2 linked regions of the Neodiprion lecontei genome follow. The protein of the gene in region 1 interacts with the protein of each later gene in a biochemical or structural test. Links are inferred from orthologs where the notes say so. Each region holds a gene or a part of one and is shown in the gene's direction. Other genes may lie near its edges.

The links.
Region 2: the proteins of E3 ubiquitin-protein ligase Nedd-4 (region 1) and ubiquitin-conjugating enzyme E2-22 kDa form a complex in vitro, tested with the Homo sapiens proteins (2 studies listed by BioGRID). The link is inferred for Neodiprion lecontei from reciprocal best matches to the Homo sapiens genes NEDD4L and UBE2K.

The regions. Positions count from the first base shown.
Region 1 is NC_060266.1:25,980,494-25,990,158, forward strand, and holds the start of E3 ubiquitin-protein ligase Nedd-4, read left to right. Parts: upstream 1-4,733; coding exon 4,734-4,910; exon of another isoform or gene 4,911-4,955; intron 4,956-5,089; exon of another isoform or gene 5,090-5,645; intron 5,646-5,779; exon of another isoform or gene 5,780-6,131; coding exon of another isoform or gene 6,132-6,182; intron 6,183-6,195; exon of another isoform or gene 6,196-6,457; intron 6,458-6,556; coding exon 6,557-6,757; intron 6,758-6,859; coding exon 6,860-7,020; intron 7,021-7,232; coding exon 7,233-7,416; intron 7,417-7,608; coding exon 7,609-7,727; intron 7,728-7,842; coding exon 7,843-7,978; intron 7,979-8,207; coding exon 8,208-8,357; intron 8,358-8,620; coding exon 8,621-8,671; intron 8,672-8,763; coding exon 8,764-9,085; intron 9,086-9,174; coding exon 9,175-9,233; intron 9,234-9,352; coding exon 9,353-9,418; intron 9,419-9,514; coding exon 9,515-9,665. Other genes in the region: enhancer of mRNA-decapping protein 3, read left to right, coding at 205-362, 448-698, 817-962, 1,068-1,328, 1,411-2,004. UniProt on the Homo sapiens protein: E3 ubiquitin-protein ligase that mediates the polyubiquitination of lysine and cysteine residues on target proteins and is thereby implicated in the regulation of various signaling pathways including autophagy, innate immunity or DNA repair.
Region 2 is NC_060261.1:10,717,510-10,728,058, reverse strand, and holds ubiquitin-conjugating enzyme E2-22 kDa, read left to right. Parts: upstream 1-3,762; 5' UTR 3,763-3,973; coding exon 3,974-4,036; intron 4,037-5,181; coding exon 5,182-5,334; intron 5,335-5,411; coding exon 5,412-5,494; intron 5,495-5,649; coding exon 5,650-5,813; intron 5,814-5,925; coding exon 5,926-6,057; coding exon of another isoform or gene 6,058-6,062; exon of another isoform or gene 6,063-7,056; coding exon 7,057-7,079; 3' UTR 7,080-7,384; coding exon of another isoform or gene 7,385-7,395; 3' UTR 7,396-7,604; downstream 7,605-10,549. Other genes in the region: ribose-phosphate pyrophosphokinase 1, read right to left, coding at 208-400, 1,905-2,113; E3 ubiquitin-protein ligase RFWD3, read right to left, coding at 7,973-9,459, 9,726-9,962, 10,261-10,270. UniProt on the Homo sapiens protein: Accepts ubiquitin from the E1 complex and catalyzes its covalent attachment to other proteins. In vitro, in the presence or in the absence of BRCA1-BARD1 E3 ubiquitin-protein ligase complex, catalyzes the synthesis of 'Lys-48'-linked polyubiquitin chains.

The DNA.
Region 1 (9,665 bases):
TTACCGGGTTACAGTTGAATACAAAGTCTGCTAAAGTTCGTTTTTTGCTCCTCATAGGGGGTTGCGAAACCCGTTATGGTATTTTCAATGTATTTCAAGCATTGAATCATTTTGAAACAGTTTCATACCTGATATTTACTTGACTTCCCGTACAGACACTGCTGCAACACTCTTCATCTTCCTTTTCAATTTCAGAACAATACAATGTCCACGCAATTCCTAGGGTGTACCGTGTCGGTCAAGTGCGATGAGTCACTTGGCACTTACCAAGGCCAAATTGTCGACCTTAACGGCCAAACCGTCACTTTGACAAAGGCTTTTCGAAACGGGGTACCTTACCCCTCTCCGCAAGTTGTTCTGTCGTAAGTTTTAGATCATATCGGTGATGATTAGGTGTTAACGACAATATCTTTTACATTATTTAATTCTAATTTTATTCCCTTATAGTGCCAAGGACATACTTCATATAGAAATAATCTCAACAGAGGAAGCTGAGGATTGCCGTGATGAAGTTCAGACTTCGAGCAAAGTCACGGTGAGGCGACCCATTGCAAAACGAGCTGGTAGATCCGTTTCTGAATGCATTCCACCTTTGGTACTTCCTAATTCCGATATTCAACAGCAATCTAATGCGCGGAAACCGCTTGATTCTATGCAGTCACACCCAGAGCCTGCTGCTAATGGAAAAATATATCTAGGTAGGATTTCCTGCACTTTCGGTAGTAAAATTTTAACGTTTGTCAGTTGATATATCGTAGTGTAAAAGATTGTGGGATATACTTAAGTAAAATTACAATTCCGAACTGTTATTTCCAGGCGAGATAAGCACAAAAAACCAGAAAAGGAGTTCGCAACGACAAAGATGGCAGGAGAAAGATGAACAAGCCTTTGGAACACCCATAGATCAGTCGATGGAGCAGGACTTTGATTTTGAGAAAAATTTAGCACTGTTCAATAAGGAGGTAATTATGGCATTTCATAAATCTGATGTCTGTACTTTTCATACCTTTTCCCACACCACTTACAGCGCTATACAACAATTAATTAGTTAAATAAAACTATTACAGGCTGTGTGGCAAGAAATAAATTCCTTGAAGCCAGACATCGTTCGTCAGTCTGAAAACACCAGAGGAAGTGTACCAAAATATCGTCACGATGAAAACGTAATAGAATCCGAACCTACAGCATTCAGACAAATTGCAGTGCCGTCTGCTGGTATCCGGGAATATGTAACTGACGATGGATTAGTAATTCCTAGCATAACGGTCGATCTCCATCGTCAATTAATCGGTGCTGCTGATAGACTAGGTATTAGCTGGGATCGCAGGGTAAGTAGAGAAACTTGACAGGCCTAAAAACCACTTTCATCCAAACTATTCCGTTCTTTATTGTTCTCTGCAAAATTTTTAGGTCGAGTTACTGGGTCGTGCAGGAGCGGAAATAATTCTACAGCTATTGGGTGGTGGGCATAGACTAAACCCGAACAATGCGCACCAATGGCCAACGGTAGTCGCCCTGTGTGGACCCCACAGGTCAGGAGCTGCGGGTGTCAATTGCGCTCGCCAATTGTCAAGTCACGGGGTGAAGACTGTCGTGTACGTTGAAAATTCGGAAGACGTCTTCCTGCTGCAGGAATTGTCGTTGTACAAGCTATCGGGAAACAGGGTTGAAACTCGGTACAAGAATCTTCCCGCAGTAGCTGATCTCATTCTCCTTGCTCTTGGCGAGGAAGGCTCGCCAAGGACAGTTGCTCCCGTTGCAACATGGGCGAACAGCAATAGAGCACCAGTTCTTGCAATTGAACCCCCGTCAGCTGGGACTCCAGGAATTATGACAAAATTCAGTCTCCTTGGTGGATTGCCCCTGTCCCATAGCGCGGATAACGGAAGATTGTATCTTTGCAATTTGGCCCTACCTGCTAAAGTATTTTCGGACGTTGGTATCACTTACAGATCACCGTTCGGACCGAAATTCGTTATTCCACTTCATTCCAACAGCTCCTAGCAGATTCCTATGACGTTCATCACTTCCGTGAAGGTACCTTAGAATCGGCTTCTCTAAATCTGCCATTATGCGAACTGAAATCAACGACCCACGGATTATTAATTACTCGAACAAAATAATTAATTATCCAGTTTTTATCATCAAACTAGTTTAATATGTATCTAAATATCAACGCCCGCGATTGTCGCGTGTTCCGTACGCGTGTTTGTTATTTACGCGGTGTGTTAATTAAATCGACATTGGACTACTGTCCGTTTCTTAATTTTGTCATACGCTCTTTTTTAGGAGCGAATTTGTCTCACGTGACTTTTGTAATTACGAGTACAGTGGAACCTCGATTAATTGGGCTGCTCAAGACCGAAGAATCCACGAATAAGTGAAATCACGGTTAATCCGAATTATTAGTAATTTTCGATCGATTCAATAGTGACTGCCGAGCATGTGATGCAGTCTGTGAACTAAGGGTATTTTCACAAGTCCAATCCCTTTCCAAGACAACCGCTAATACCCGGTTACTCACGCGAAGCTCGGAGGCGCTCCAGAGGGTCACGGTTAATTCGCTCCCCGGTTAAACCAATCCCAGTTAATCGGGGTTCTACTGTATACCGTTAGCTAGTATCCATAACTATTAGCTTGTTTGTATTATTTTTTTTTTTTTTTTAATTTTGATAGCATCTAATCGTGGGCCACAGCTGTTATAGTTTCAGCGACCATTGCTGATTAGTTTGTCGAAGTTGTTAGAAACTAATAACAGGGTGGAAAAAACCTGTACGTTGCAAAATGAAATTTATATATTGTTTGGCTCACGCCTTGCAGCGTCAAGAAATGTGCAAATTGTTATTCGTTCCGTGCTCCTATTTAAAAAAATTATAAACTTGAATCACGTCCAGTTCATATATATATATATATATGGATTGAAACTTGCTTAAATTGTAATTATCATATTAATTAATTTATTTATATTTTATACATAGTTGTATATCGAGAGAGAGGTGCTGGGTAAGTACCGAGTGTTGATGATTCTGTCAACGGTCTACCATAAGTTGATGATTGTGTACTATTGTATAGCCATATTATTACGACGATGACTATTCTTATTATTAACATATATACATGATGTAAAATTGTACAATAGAAGATCAAGAATGCAGCAGTAATTGTATCTTATAATCTATTAACACCTTACAGTTTCGCTGTATCAATTTACTGTCATATGCATAATAACGTTCCGCGGTTGCAGCCGGCCAATAATAATCGGCATTTTCGTTTACGCGCAGGAAGTCGGCGGCCCGCGACGCAGCGTGAATGCGTAAATGAAACTACTATAGAATAAATTACTGCATATATCAATTACGTAGTTCATAATTTTCTCTACTTGGGCCTAGGTCGATTCGCGTCTTGTCGCAGTCAGGCGTGACCTGGAAAGCACGGTACGTTACGTAGTCGCGCGTGTACGTGGAAAACAAAGAGAGAACAAGGGGGAAAAAAAGGAAGAAAAAAAAATTCGTGAATTTGTCATTAATTATCATAATACTTCTGTGTTAAGAAAATCCTCAATACCGTCTCGACGCGGAGTGTATTAACGCTTACGCTCACGCGCATATAACGTATCATGTATGTTGTATACACTTATCATTACTCGCAATACGCGCCCGTGTAATATCTGTGCATATCTCTTGACTCTGTCGTCCATGAGTCGCGCACGACGGTGTTATCAGACGTTGATTTAAAGCAGCTCTGATGCTGTCTCATTCTTATCTATCTTCGAAAGTTTTGGTACTTTCGGGAATTACGTTTTCCGCGACAATTCATTTAATTTCACGTTTAACGTTACGGATCGGAATACTTGCCTTAAATTTTTGCACCTCGTTGCCCTGGCGAAATAGTTTGAAACTTAAACTCAAGGAGGAACAAGTATATCGCGTGCGCATTGCGTAGGTGTTGTGTGTGTGCGAAGAATAATGCGCTGATTAAGTTGAGATCGTGTGGGGTACGGCTAAACGAACAAAGAACGAGTAATTTCTTTCTCGTTAATTTTCTCTATGTAACATCGCGATTAAACCGCGTGTGCTAGCTGATAACGATCAACAAGGTGATCGCTTGATCGTTTTGATAAACAGCACCACTTGCTTTTGCTTCTTTATTTTGCGGGGCGAGCTTGGCTAATATTGGCAGAACGCGTTGTCTGTATGCATATATATGTATAGCCATTTCTCACAGTTGCTGCTTGTGTGTGGTGTGTGTCAAAACGAATAAAGAAACTAGTCTAAAAGTAACGCCGACGAGTGGCTCTTAACGAAGGTGCGGGAAGAAAAGTATTTGTATATACCTATAATGTAAAAATATGTAAAAATCGTCAAATTTTGTTGTTCGATATACGTAATTGTGCGCGCTAATTAACTTTAATCGGCTACATCCACCACCGCTGTGATCCGGGACCCCGATCCTCCCAACGCAACGTATAACGCCCGTAATTCTCGCCTCTATGCATCTCTATTCGGCACGTACAACGTACGGTGTACGTATAATAATAAAATACGTTGCAGGAGCGTGTCTAATACTTCGAGAGAAGAAAGAAAATAGAGGAAACCGAACACCAATTGCATACAAAGTTTAAGTCGAGTTATGAACGGAAAAGCTGCAGCCACCAGCCTGGGCACCTAGTCGATCCATAGATCATTTCTGTCCTTCGACGCGTTGCGATTCGGTTTGCGGATACCTTCTCGAAGATGCCGGCTACCTTGACGTACCCGATCTACGCCGGGATCGAACCACCGCCTCCTAGAAGACGAGCAAACACATGGACCAGCACATGGGTAGGACGACGTCGATCCTCGGCGAGCGCGCAGGAAACTCTCGCATCCCGAGCTGGAAGGCTCTCCCTTTCCGTCCAGCCCACAACCACGGTGAGGAAACTCTCTTTTTCTTCTTCCCTCCCTTGTCGCTACGTCCTGTAAGGATACGTGTCCCAATAAGGAAACTCCGTAGCATCATATATAACCTACATTGTATTACATTTGTATGCGTGGTGGGACAACATGCCTCTGTATATGTATACATACATATTTAAATGCTATATACCTACGTGAGCCAGATTATAAATATACGCAAAGTGAGAATTCTATGAGTCAATGGTGTTTTTCACTGGCGATTCGCTTGTTCGTACGTAAATGATACGAATCGCACATTGTACTGTGATCTTCGACATTTAAAACCGCAACCCGTGTCTCGCTTCGTATGAAATAATAAAAGTAACTGAATTTATTGGATGTATATGTATGTATTATGTACACATATAGCTGTTCCGGTTGGTTATACCATTCGATTTGTCGTATGCCAATTCGCTCGACCAACCAACTTTACCGTAAATCACGTGATTTCACTGATATCACTACAATTGAGACTGGGTGCGGCGTTAAGGGAATATCAAACTTTTTTTTACTAAACGTTTTAGAAAAATTATGCGACTGCATTTTTTTTTTTCAAACCATTTTTGACACCCATACTTATATTTTCTAACTTGAGGTACACAGACACTAGGGGAAAATATTAGTCGATGTTATTAGTTTACGGTGCTTCTTCTGCGTTTTGATAAGATTAAAGGTAATTCCCGCGGATGACCTCGAATGTTGTATTGTACGTACAAACACACGTGCAGCGACACTCACGGATGGTAATCACGGTCACCGAAGGCGCAAGTGTACGTATTTGAGTGTACGTGTACCTGCTGCGCACTGTAGACGGGCCAAAATCTGTTGCGCATGATATGAAAGTGCGTTAAAAAGAAATGGGAAAATTTCTGGTATACGCCAGATTGTCGATAATATGAAAATTGATGAATGAGAATTGAGCGGCAATGGGAATCATCGAAGTACCGTGTGCACGACCATTCGTAAGTTTCGCGGGGGATCAGAAAGGCGGATCATGACGGAACAAAGCTTCCGTGTTACTTTGATTATCCGAAGTTGGCAGCACTTGAAACGGCCGTCTGAACGGCAACTTAGAAAGTGGGGGTAATACGAGAACAGACTTCTTGATGGCAGATAATAAATTATAGTAATTCGTAATAAATAGAAAACGATCGTTTTTCTGGCGATTCGCGAACGTTTTTATTCCACGTGTTGTTAATGGCAGAGGAACATGTTTACGGATACAATCCGACGACCGGCGTCGACGGGGTGAGTCCTACACGATATTTGACAGTTCCCCTGACAAGTGGTCTAGGTTGGGTTCTTTCACGATCTTCGAAATCCGAGGTGTCCAGGGCTTTCAGGGTCTACCTGCCGTCGCACGAAATATCGTCGGAAAATATCCTTGTCGGCTCAATCGCGTCAAACGTTACGCTCCAGAGAGTGGGTCGGTGGTTTCCGGGAACTTGTGATATTTCCCTTTTCTCTTTCTCTTTCTCTCTATCGCCCTCTGTTTCTCTCTACACTGGTCTCTTCCAATTATTGTATGTATCCTTGTCGCGTCACCCTCCTCTAATATCTACCGATAATTCAGTCGATTCTAACGCAGCAAGGTCGTCCTGTTATTATCTTTCTGTACCTAGGACGAGGAGGCAACGAATAAGCTGAGGCTCAAGGTTATAGCTGGTCATCAACTGGCCAAAAAGGACATATTCGGTGCGAGCGATCCTTACGTCCGAGTTGATTTGAACAAGATCAATGGAGATGGGAACGTCAACTCAGTGCTCACCAAGACTAAGAAAAAGACCTTGAACCCAGTTTGGGAGGAAGAATTCATATTCAGGGTGAGTTTGCTGTAACCACCTTCTGTTGTGTCTGATAAATTATAATCTAACGTCAAATTGATAATGCAATGACGATTAATTGTGCATCTTGCTGTTGCAAAGGTCAAACCAGCCGAGCACAAACTCATTCTCCAAGTATTTGACGAAAACAGATTGACCAGAGATGATTTTCTCGGAATGGTTGAGCTGACTTTAATCAATCTACCCAAGGAACAAGAAGGACGCGTCATTCCTGCCAAGCAATATATACTTAGACCACGTAGGTGAGTAGCTGGCTGTAGATGTTTGTTTCGGTACGATTATCTCACATCAATCATATTATCTAATGGTAGATGCAAATTATATTCAACATCCACATGAACCACCGTTTTCAGAGTATGATACATATTATAATATGTTATCCATGTTGTTTCTTGATCTTTTACCAAGAATTGTGCGATGATAAAAATAATTAATGATCGACGACGTGGCTTAGCAATCATTCCAGTCAACGGTCGCGCGTTAAAGGCACGCTGGAAGTGTACCACGCATACATTTCGGACTCAACAGGGGAGAGCAGCAATGGCGAAGGTGAAACTGCGCCTGACTCCGGTGGTTGGGAACTGTTGGACCAGCCCGTTTCAACGTCTAATGATAGTCCTGTAGAACAAGCTGCTCCGGTTGGTTTACCTAATTTTTTCTACAAAGTACAGTCTTTCAGTTACTCTACAAGTAAATGAACACAAAATTTTGAATTGAGAACAGCGATCGAATATAAGATCGACCTGGGCACGGGAAATTCTTTAACAATGAGAAATAACTGTGATATTTCAATGCTCATATTCTTAGACTTCATCAATTTTGATTTACAGACAATAATGGTCAATGGGCCTCTGCCGCCTGGATGGGAAGAAAGACAGGACGCGAACGGGAGAACGTACTATGTCAATCACATAGCTAGATTCACGCAATGGGAACGGCCGACAGTCCTGTAAGTGAAGTTCTGTATGAATTCATCAACTCTTTACAAACCCCTCATACATGTCATCGTAAACTTCTTCTGTAACTGCCGTTCTTACAGACAATCGATTATGGTTATTTTCCAGAAATCAAGCACCAACGGGTGGTGTAACACAGGAGCAACGAAATCTAGATACCGCAGCAACCGAGTTCCAGAGACGCTTTCACATCAGTGTTGATGATGCAGAAAATAGGCATAACCGAAGCTCTGGCCTTCATCAGGTGAGAACACAAAGTGCAACTCACCTTTTTCTTTTGCCAATAATTTTGCCTGATAGAATTAGCAACTTGCTATACAGTATAACAACCTCGTTGTCATCCTACCTTACAATGGTTTGTTATTAACATTAGTACTTCTAAAATTATAAAAATAAAGTTCAAATAAAACTGTGGTGAGGGGTTGTATAAACGCAGCATGCGGTGTGTAGCAAATTGTGCATGTGTGTATAAGGATGGTGATGTCCCTCGAGAGGAGGACGAGCATGCGGAAGACAAGAATGACGAAGGTGGGGAACAAGGGGAAAGGGTGGTTGGGGATGCTTCATCGGATTCCGGTCGTTCAGTCGATCAGCACGGCTACCTGGGCGAATCTGATGATCAGGTATTCATCGTTCACTTCGAACCATATTACACATTTGCTTTCTTTGTGCAAATATCCGATTATCAGCTGCCTTCTTTCAATCACTTCTAATGCTTAACAATATCAATATATATCGCAATTTTAAATAAAAAAATTGCCAGTATATTGTGGCCTCACATCCCTGTGTATTTAAACATACATGCCGTTGTTTTTTCTGCGAGCAACGCCAGCCTTTTTTTTCTCGATGGTGGTATTTCATCATGCTCTGCAATTTTTGTTCCCAGAGTGAGGAAGCTGCTGATAGCCCGAATGGTTCCAGGCGATCCTCGGAACAGGTATACTTGTTTCTCCGTACATATGGATATCCCAATTTTCAATATATTTAACATAGGTATTCTGTATCTCTCTGTCAATTTTTTTTATCCAGATTGATGGTCCAGTAATACCAGCGGCTTCCCCGGCCACAGCTATAGCTCCACCGGCAGCGGCTGCTTCTCAGACACCGAATGGCGACGGGTTGCCTTCTGGATGGAGTATGCAATTGGCACCAAATGGTAGAATGTTTTTTATAGATCACAATGAACGAGCTACGACGTGGGTAGACCCAAGAACGGGGCGCGCCAGTCCTATGCCGAGTCACAATGCTCCGTCAGCAACACCAAGGAGTGATTTAGACCAGTTAGGACCATTGCCCGAAGGATGGGAGGAAAGAGTGCATACGGATGGTCGCATATTCTTCATTGATCACAGTGAGCCGTTTTACTCAAATTGCCGATAGCTGGATAACCTTTGAGCAAGATGATAATTATGTACACTGATGTAAATTACTTTGTTTCAGATACAAGAACCACTCAATGGGAGGATCCGCGAATGTCTAATCCTCAGATAGCTGGACCTGTAAGTTATCATTTATTTCTATGACGCTGAAGCTTATCTTATCTGTTTTATTCCGATTTGATTGTAATAATCGGGCAAGTATAGAAACTAATCTCGCGAACATTATACCTGAATTACAGGCAGTTCCGTACTCCAGGGACTACAAGCGTAAATACGAGTACCTGAAGTCACAGCTGAGAAAACCAGTGAGTGCATCAAAAATTACTTGGTTCATTCTAAATTGATGAATTGTTTTTAGTTTTGGACAATCTCGATGTAACTTTGGACTTGCTTGTTCATAGAACAACGTGCCTAATAAATTCGAGATCAAAGTGAGGAGGACGAACATCCTTGAGGACTCTTACCGCATCATTAGCTCCGTAATTAGATTAGAGATCCTGAAGACTAAGTTGTGGGTGGAATTCGAAGGCGAGGTCGGTCTGGACTATGGTG
Region 2 (10,549 bases), on another chromosome or scaffold:
AGTAATTTTTCAGCAAATTTCTTAGAATTCATACTGGAAAAATTTGATACGAATTTGATGCAAATACGCCAATTGTGAGAAAAAATGGTAAAAAAAAAAAACTAAATAAACTAAATTGAAATAAATATATAAATAACAAGAAATTCATACACACATGGTAAACTATACGAGTATAATTAATAACTGGGAATAAAAAGTAATGCTCACATCTCCTACCTTATCCTTCTTGTCCTGCCTGGCATATGGGAAGCAAGGGATGACTGCTGTTACTCGAGATGCAGAGGCAATCTTGCATGCATTGATCATAATCAGCAGCTCCATGAGATTGTCATTTACCTCGCCACTGCCGCTTTGAATAATGTAAACATCTTCGCCACGTACAGACTCTCCGATTTCCACGCTGAGAATGAAAAATGTTACAATTTTTCATTAAACTACATATAATGGTGAAGATACTAGTACGAGGTGGATACATCAAAGAAGAAAAAGACACGTTTAGTCACGTTGCTATTGTGTCGTCGAAAGGTAAATTGTTGTTACATTGAATGAAATGAGATCAGTTACATAAATTCAGTTTCTGATACTTTAGGGAGCTTATTTCAATCTGCCGGTCGTCGACAATTTACTTTATTACATAGGAAAAGAAGGAAATACAATTTTCATAAAAATTATCCACTTTTTGTAAAGTTACACATTGATTTTTTGATTAATTTCAAATGTTGCAAGCCTTCGACTCTTCAGAAAAGTAGACTCGATATAGTAAACAACGGAACTTTTATGATAACTTGCGAAGAAAAAGAATAGAGCCATGAAATAATTGCTTCTGTTCAAATAAGATTACATCATGTTTTATTTGTTCAGCATTTCTTAAATAGTTAGAAACTCTTTTGTTTGAATTCAAACCAACGTTTCTAGTTGGAATCTACCGTGATATTATCATTTTGCGAATGGATAGGCGATTATTAACGAAACTAAAGCTTTGTTGTTTGGTTATTTATTAGCAATTGCTTTGAAAAATTGGAATTTTTCAAAAATAATTGCAATGTAAATGAATCTGCATTCTTTTCACCTGTAAAAGTTGATTAATAGCGGTACTTTCAAATGTTTGGAAGGTCTTCAATATTTTGTGATAAACATTTGGCGAACCTTAATCAAATCGCGTATGATAATTTTTGATCCTTCAGAACGTAACGATGTAGAAATGAAACGTGTACCGGTAAGACTGTTGAGTATAAAAATAAAGGTAGGTAGTAAAAAATTGCATGCATAAATATACGACGTTATATTTGGTCGTTATAAATATCGGATGTGATTTCAAGTAATGATACAGGAAAACTTTGTCAGCATCGAAAGAGTTTCAATACAGAACAGTGCCCACTACCAACAAACGGCAAGGTCGTTGTAATCATGATGTATTAAAGGCAACGTCAACCTACACAAGAAATTGCGCGCAGCCGTCTAATACGTACATAATATGTATGTATGTATGTACATAGGTACACAAAATGACGCGAAATATCAATGATTACGTACGCGGAGCAATAGATCCGAGAGAAGTAAAAAAGATTCGTTCTATTACTAGAGTCGGACGGGAAGGCAAAGGACAAAAAGATATGAGGGAATTAAACAACGCGGCGTGGCGTTGCGAGGATCTCCGGTGAACGGTGATTGGCGCAAGAGGGGTTCGCGTACCTGTCGAAGCAAGGGTGCCAGAATAAACGACGCTAATTCCGAGAACGATTTACCCAGATTTCAGGCGACTGTTTAGATATTTTGGAGCTTCGATGAAGCGGGATAGAATTTTGTCGACGAGTTGGATTGGCCATTGCTCCGCGAGGAAGCGGCGCGGGTCCTGACTCTTTATAAGATAAAAGGATAAATAAGGGCTGCAATGATGTAGTTACCATGTTTCGAGGTTGCTGAATTTTTTCGTGACAACCTTCCCGATGTCGATTCCAAGCCTGTCGACTATTCGCTGCGCCAGGTCCGGGTGCGACGTACCGCTGAATACTTTGATATTTGGCATTCTGCTCCGTAGTACACTACCGCCACGAGGTTTCTCTAACTTTGCGCGTAACAAACTCCTCGCACGGACTGGTTGCGAGACGGGCATTACTGTAAATCCGAACGACCAATCAGAGCCGTCCGGAAATTATCAGTATGCGGACCCAGCGCTCCCTCGTGTCAGCTTACCGAATTATTTGCATTTCAAATCTTTGATCTTAGGGTGGATTTTCACTGGCGGCAATATGCTTTTTTCACCGATAGGAATGCCGATAAAGTAATAAAGTGCTGCCTGATGCACGCTGAATGCGAATTATCCATTTTTATTATTATTTGCATTGGTCTGGAACTAGGCAGTAAAATACTGCCGCAGCATTTTGCTGTCCACGAAAAGCTCGCATGCCTCATGGGGTAAATGGTAACGGCCACTCGGTATACTCTATCTCTCTTGCTCTGCGCTATGATTAGCTGGTCGATCATTCAAATTGGCCAATTTTTCTGTTATTTTTTTATTTTTTTTTCATATTCTCACGAACTTCCAGCGAGTTTTAAGAGGATGCTACGGGTAGTCTCTAGTAACCGAATAAAATATCACTCATTTTGACTATTACCCAGAGTCTACGCATCACTGACATGAAAATGGCGCGGATAGCACATTTTAGCCACTGCAATGTCGAACAAGAATATTCAAAAGCTTCTGTCTTTCATGCAAGAATAACATCAGAAAATGTGCTCCTACAATTAGTAGTAATTCTATTACAGGAATATCATTGTAGCGTAAAACAAATACCCGTTGGGTTCTTGTGTTCTGCTTTCGATACAGAATAGTGCTATCACGGGACTACCTTTTCCCGTTAACGAATGCGTAGGCTCTGATAATAGTTAATCATAAGTGACATTTGACTTGCTCGGTAAGGACTGACTATAGAAACTTTTTTGTGAACTGATTTTGAATTTTGAGGATGTCGAAAATTGCAACAGATATTATCGTTTTCAAACCATTAAATATGACTCGAAGAGATAAAATTTGTTCATGAACGGGTACGGGGATAATTAAAAAAAAAATTAGGTAATGCGTTTCATAGTTCGGTCCGTACATGGCAGATATGATGCTGCAAACATATTGACATAAAATCGAACAGAATTGTAATTATGTACTTGAGAATCATTGAAGCATACATATTTACTATTCGTTTCATAAGTCAGCAGATAATTTAAAGTTTACTAATTAATCCGGTCATAGTTAATTTATTATCAATCGGTGTTCTGTCATATTATATTCCATTTTGTCACAGTATAATGTTACATATATATTATACATTTTTTGTACGTGACATCGTGGTCCAATTTGTTATTTTTTCAACTTTCTTCTTCAATTATAAAATTATTTATGCTGATTTAATTCATGCACTTACGTTACAATTAATGTAAAAGATTAATAGAATCGTTCGGTAAAGTATTTATATAAGTGCATTGCAGCGTTAAGATCTGACAGTAAAACAGTTAATATTCACCACTCAATATCTGTGAAGGCGTAGAATAAAACCTGCGTCATTGCTTACGTATTCCATAAGTAGTTGTTGAAGAATTGAATAAAAAAGTTATATATAACCATATTTACATGAGTCAGTGAATAAGTTTTTTGAAAATCTCGAACGAGATTGGTAGGAAAAAAAAAATTTCAAATTAGCGCCAAAGTAATCGCGGCGTGACTCTAGTCGGAATTTAAAGAGACAGGCAAGTGACAGTCACTTTTCTACTTTTCGTCTTTTCCTATCAATGTGGCGCTAGCTGTGATCGAATGACAAATTGTATGTAACCGCCAGCGGTTATTTGGGTAAAAAAAATACAGGTTGCGACAACAGTACATGAATTAAAAGAGCTGTTTAAATCGAGGTAAATACTGGCATCCGTACATTCGGCGGTAAATTATGTCAGTGTATTGAGTAGCTGGGAGTGATAGGGAGACATGGCGAACATTGCGGCGCAACGAATCAAACGGGAGTTCAAAGAGGTTATAAAAAGCGAAGAGGTGAGTGAATAAGTGCAACTTCTCAACGACCCAGTACATTTACCAGTATTTAGCCAAACGCGTGATCGCGAGAGAATTTCACATATTATGCAACGCTAACCTGTAACAAACGGCTAAACAGATTCTCCACGTACCAAGTCGTAGACAATTTTGAGTTGAGGGCACATCTCGCTTTCCTCGCTCGTTATAATTTTCAAACTTTCCTCTGACAGTTGCTTGCGCAATTATTTACCTCGTCTGAAAAGTGTCTGTTGTTATTAGAAAAAAAACATTTTCATTGAAAACTTATCCTTTTCACAAAATTCGTGAGAATCTCAAGTTCTTAGTACATGAAATATCCTATTCAGTTCATACTCATTTCCATAGAATCTTTATTTCTTCAATATCTACGTTCTCTGTCAGGTTCATCTTTTAGGTTTCATCATTTCTCCGGATATTTGAATACTGTTTTAGAGTCACTAATTAACCATCCAAAATTCCTGTTTGAAAAGATATCAATAAATGTAGCTTACTTACCATTTTCTTCTTCTTCCGTTGACAATAATTCGACATTTTCTGGGCTTGCCATAGATTTTTGGGTTGCAGTCAAGTTTTGTTTTTCCAAGACCCCTTTGTAGGCAGGCTATCACGATTTCCACGCTTTGTTAACAAACTGCTTTGAATCTCGTCACATTTTCTTACTTCAGACCGCTTCTTGCGCTAGTCGACATTTCGAAACTTTGTTATTTTCTACACATCATTACGGGTCGCGTTGATAAACTTGGCTTGGTCATTTTTTCTATAAAAGTATTACAGATTAAAGGCTACAGGGGGTCGGCAATCTTATTAAAAGTAGATTACTATTTCTCAGCAATACGATGTATCTGTTGAGCAGTACTGTTCGTATGAATCGCGATAATATTTGTGTTGATAAAACATAACAACCTCGGTGCATAGCTTGGTTGCCTTTCCCTTTTCTACAATTATAATATTCATTAAATATGCTGATAAGATAGTGTTGTGTTTCAGTTGAAATATATTTTCAATAGTTGAAGTTGATATTGAATATGGTCAACTTGTCAAATGATTTCCTCTTCTACTTTATTGGCATTTTCAACAAACAATAATTGACTAATCATGTTTATCTCTTTTCTCTAACATTTCAGGTGGCAAAATGTGCGATTAAGGTAGAACTAGTAAATGATAGCTTCACAGAATTAAAGGGTGAAATAGCAGGACCACCCGACACTCCATATGAAGGTGGCAATTTCGTGTTAGAGATAAAAGTACCTGAAACGTATCCATTCAATCCACCCAAAGTAGGTACCAAAACCATCATGAACAAAGATGTAGTATAAGATCTGAAGTCATTGAATTTTACACTTTTTTATTTCAGGTTCGTTTTATCACAAAAATATGGCATCCAAATATATCCTCGGTTACAGGCGCCATATGTTTGGACATATTAAAAGACCAATGGTAAGTTGCAGTCCAATAATGGTTACTAATATAATTGATCGGGTGATAATTTTGCACTCTGCAATGTCGTTGGTTCTATCACCTTACGACAGAATAATTGCATAACAGATTTTAGTTGCATTGTGTTTTAAACGATAATTGTCATCCTTTGTCAGGGCTGCTGCGATGACCTTAAGAACAGTTTTGTTATCGTTACAAGCCTTATTGTCAGCTGCTGAGCCTGATGATCCACAAGACGCTGTGGTTGCTAAGCAGTATAAGGAGCAGCCTGAAATGTTTCGTCAGACTGCAAAACATTGGACGTCTGTGTATGCTGGTGGTACAAGATTTATCTACTACGAAATTTATTAAAGTTTTTTTTACGAGTAAAGACCTCAGCGAACTAATGATTGTAATATCAAAAAATACCAAGAAATGCCTGATATTTTTAGGACCAGCTAAGATGTCAGATCTCGATGACAAGATAAGAAGATTGACTGATATGGGGATCGAAGAACATAATGCACGAGTAGCCTTATCCTCCTACAATTGGGACTTAGAACGTGCCACCGAACAGCTATTCAGTTAGTGATTACTGTGTATTCTTATGTATCATAAAAAGCAGCTACTAATTGGCAGCAACCTCTTGGAATGTCACTGTCACAAAAGCATACCATCGTGTTTTCAAATAATTGAGAAAAAAACCCAACATTCGTAATGACAATATTGCAATGGTGAGATAACTTTGGAAGTGATCCCAAATTTGACTAACTATTAGCATTCATTTAACATGTAAAATAGATACGAGAAACAATAATAATTGATGAACAAGTTTTAAGTAGCAAAATTTCATAAGGTATGTAACTCAAGAGGAGGGCATTATTACGATTTACGAGAATAAGTTGTAAATTCTAAATCTACAAGACGAAGCGACATTTATGTTTGAATAGACATATGAATGTTTTTTTTTTAATCAATTCCCAATAATCCACTTAGAAACAGCATTAGTAAAATATTTAAGAACCAAACACGTATTAAAATCTACGAAGATAATTGCTTTGATTAGGCACTAACACAGTTGCCAAGTGCTTCCCTGAAATTTTTCTTCAATCTGAGTTCAAGTTTTATGTGAAACCTCATTGCTGGAGGTGTGTATCCAATTGACTGCGTTACTAACGGTTGTACTACTCAAGTGTAACTCATTGTCAGTTCAATGAATGATGATATTACATGTTTTTGCCCCCAACTCTTATTGTTCGAATATAAATAAAATTATTAAACACTTCTTCAATTGTCAAAATTTGAAGATTGACTAGCTGATTATAATATCCTGCAGCATATCGACTGATTGTAACGGGGTTTCGCTTGACTCTTGAGTGTATATTAATCAAATTAACGTATCTTTTAGTCCTAATAAACGTATTTATGAAATTTCGGTAGCCTCCAAACTTGATTTGTGAATATTTAAATTTTGCACATTTTTTGAAGTTTGATTACTTGCAAACTTACACTACTTTTCATTATACCGACGATAAGAAAATTCCAAGAAATCAGCAAAATTAAACTTATAATTTTAATTACAGTGACGGTTATGGCGAAAAATTGAACGTAGCTATTTGATGAAAATACATTTCTTAGAAAACTTGGAGTGTAAGACGGCAGTGTGGTACGACAGGATATCGCATGGTCGGTCCCGTGCACGTTTGCTAAGTGATGTTGTATACGTTTCACGTAATGGAACATTTGATTAATTTAATCTACATCCTATCTTACTTCGATTGTAATTCTAAGAGTAAAGTTCTATTGCCAGGTGTGAAATCTTACCTGCATACGATGTACTCCAATTAATTGAAAATTGATAGTTATGTTTCATAATATTTCATGCATTTTTCAATCATTCACAATGTGCAGGCTGTGTCTGAAGTGTCGCCAGCAAGAGTCAAGGTCCAACTACTCGCAAACCAGTTTGTTAACTTGGGACAAATGGTTGGGATCTGTGAATTTGAATTTACAGGAAAACAAAAAAAAAACTCTGCTCTGTTCATATTGGGAAATTTAGGATTTATACCATTTAATAAGATCAATGTACATTAATAGGCCTCAAATATTAATAAAAGTAATTTTTTTTCAATACTTCTTTCAAAATTTGATCCACCTTGATTTGATCGTGGAAAAATATAAATAGTATACAGTTTTGAATTACTGGAAGTAAAAAAATTATTCGGTCAATATTTAAAAACAGGGCTTATAGCACTCTTAAAAAACGTGCCTAATCTATAAAGAAAATTTTTTTATTCGATACAAAATACTTACGCTACAATAATCGGTATCACATAAATTTAATTACACACACGTATATGACATATTGTATAGTTTAAACAAGTTTCTTTCACTTTCTATTTCACTAGTAAATAAAACACATTCGATTATGATTTCACATCATGCTATTCCTTAATAACACTTGACGTCAACGTCTGTATGCATTTATCTTACAAATAATCAATTACCATATTTATATGCCCTTAGTTTCTTTTGAGAGAGCGTTGCTAGAAAGAGGTCATTGTTTTTAGTATTAAAGGCGCAGAAGTCTATCACAGGATCAGAAACAGGAAGATTATAGATCTGTTTACCAGTTGATATGCTCCAAATTGGTATAGAGCTGGTAGCTTCTTGATGAGCGGCTAGAAGCGTGTCATTTTCAGTCTTTATCTGACACGGTCTAGAAAGTAATTTCTGTGAATTTCCACCTTGGAAAGTGTGAACGATATTGCAAACGATTATATCCTCGGTACCTTTTTCAATTGTACAAACAGTATGCCTTGCCTGCGGTTGCCTGGGGTTTGGGCGAGACGAAACCACGACATGTTTGCTTTCGGAATCGTAGCAAACTGACACAAACGGCCCTTCAAGAAACATTTGCTTGCCTGCAAACTCCGCATCTTTGCTTTCGTATGCGAAACAACTATTCAGGCGACAAGCTATGAACCCTCCAGCCGGTATTCCACTGTCGTAAGCTGGTGCAACCTTTGCTAAAGCGACGACCGGTGATCTGTCTCCTGGTCCGTCTATTTTGCTGATTGGGCCAGCCGTTTGTCTAATATCGAATTGTCTGACAGAACCGTCTTGGGCACCGGCCAAAAAGACATTGTGATTATTACCGGCCCAACAACAGCTCCATAGCTGAGAATCCGTCTGATAATTGTGAACCACTGTATTATTGTGGATGTCCATCAACTTTGCACACTTGTCGAATCCAACACTAAGGAGTATTTCGTTTATGTAAGGATTGAACGACACGTCTCTGATGGCCTGAGAATGCAGGAAGACGAATTGTCGAGATCGAAATTCTCTGGAATCAATTTTTTTTATTCCATACCCAGAAAATAAGGCATTTGTGGATTTTTGTGATATGACTAAGGTCTGGTACCACGCATTATAGGCAAGAACTCTGCACCCGCCATCTTTACAAATGTCAATCGATCGTTCAAGATGAAATTTCTTTAACATTGGTTGCGAATTTGAGTGCTGTAGGCTCGATTGATATTCCTTTCCCATTTGCAGTTGCTGACTTTCAAGTTCTAATATTCGCTGCTTCATACCAGCCAGCTGTTGGTCGAATAATTTCTGCCGTATTATGTACCTTTCCAGTTCCATCTGCAGCCGACTTTTCTCTGCTGTAACTTTGCTTAATTCTACTTTCAGTTTGTCCGCTTCACTAGTATCAACTGCTGATAACTTTTTGACATACAATACGCGTATATCCTTAGCCGAAGCCTTGTGATTGCACTGAGGACATCGACGCGCTCCTGCGTTACATCCAGTTTGTAACCAACGCTGAATACAACTATATCCAAACAGGTGTCCACAGCGTAAAGAACAGAGACGATGTTCTCCAGAGTTGTTCCACAGATCCATGCAAATCGGACATGATTGACCCGAATCTAGGTCTGCCTCCTCATCCGAGCCTGGGTCTTTTCTTTTGTTTCCTATGAAATGAGTTTTGTCCATCGAGATATATTTGAATTATCTTAGGTAGATCAACGGTAACTGTTAATACTAGTTTGTTTTGCAAGAAGCAATTACGGTCCCAAAGAAATCCGAAACATCAAATAGGGGCTATAATTATCTGGACCTTGAATCAATGTCAAATATTTCATATGACTTTGAGATGTCAAAGGAAACATGACTTGATACTATGATGAAACAATATGTAAGTGCTTACTGCACCTTTGAATATTACTAAATAACTCACCAATTTCGAGAAGCTCTTCGTTATTGTTGTTTGCTTGTGGTTTTTGGAAAATTGGTACATTCTCTTCCCCTTGTACAGATCGAAAGGTTATTGGTTCACTATGCTCAATAACCTGAGCTTCTTGGTCTGTCTCTGGTTCTGATATGTGTACCACTTCCCGTATAGGAGTGTTGACACGATTATCAGGAGCCAGGATTACTGGCTCATCTGCTTCTTGAACCTCCATCTCTTCTTCATCTAACATAATCAATATTCAATTAATAATAAGAATTGGATTATAAGTGTACATCAAGCTCGATGTTGAATGATAGCTGCGTGCAAGTGTTTCCTCAAAATCTTTGCCATTTTTTGATCAACTGTGTCTGTGAATAGTAATTTAATCGATGGTTAATCGTTTGCTGACAAGACAGGGTGAAACAAATTAAAGCATATAAATGAGGCAGAAAACAGTATCAGATGTGGGGTAAACGGTTAACGGTAAATTTAAAGGGCTTATTCCTTGGAAACGGAAAGAGAAAGATAAAAATCAACTCACTGTTTTCCATTTTTAACGAAGTCGGACAGGTTATACATTTAGAAGAAGAGATGAAGGTGCAATGCGGGATTAGCAATGGTTGAAACTTGAAATTAACAACAAAAAAGCGGTGATCATAGTAGGTAATTGGAAAAATATCACGTTTATACTTTTTTACCGAACCATCGATGTTGCCAAAGGACTTATGACTTGGTTTCACTCCTTTGGAGTGCTCACTTATTTACGCTCCGTTCTGTTAGGGTCGGTGTCCTAGTGAGAACAAACGGGAAATCGGAAATCTTCTCAATCT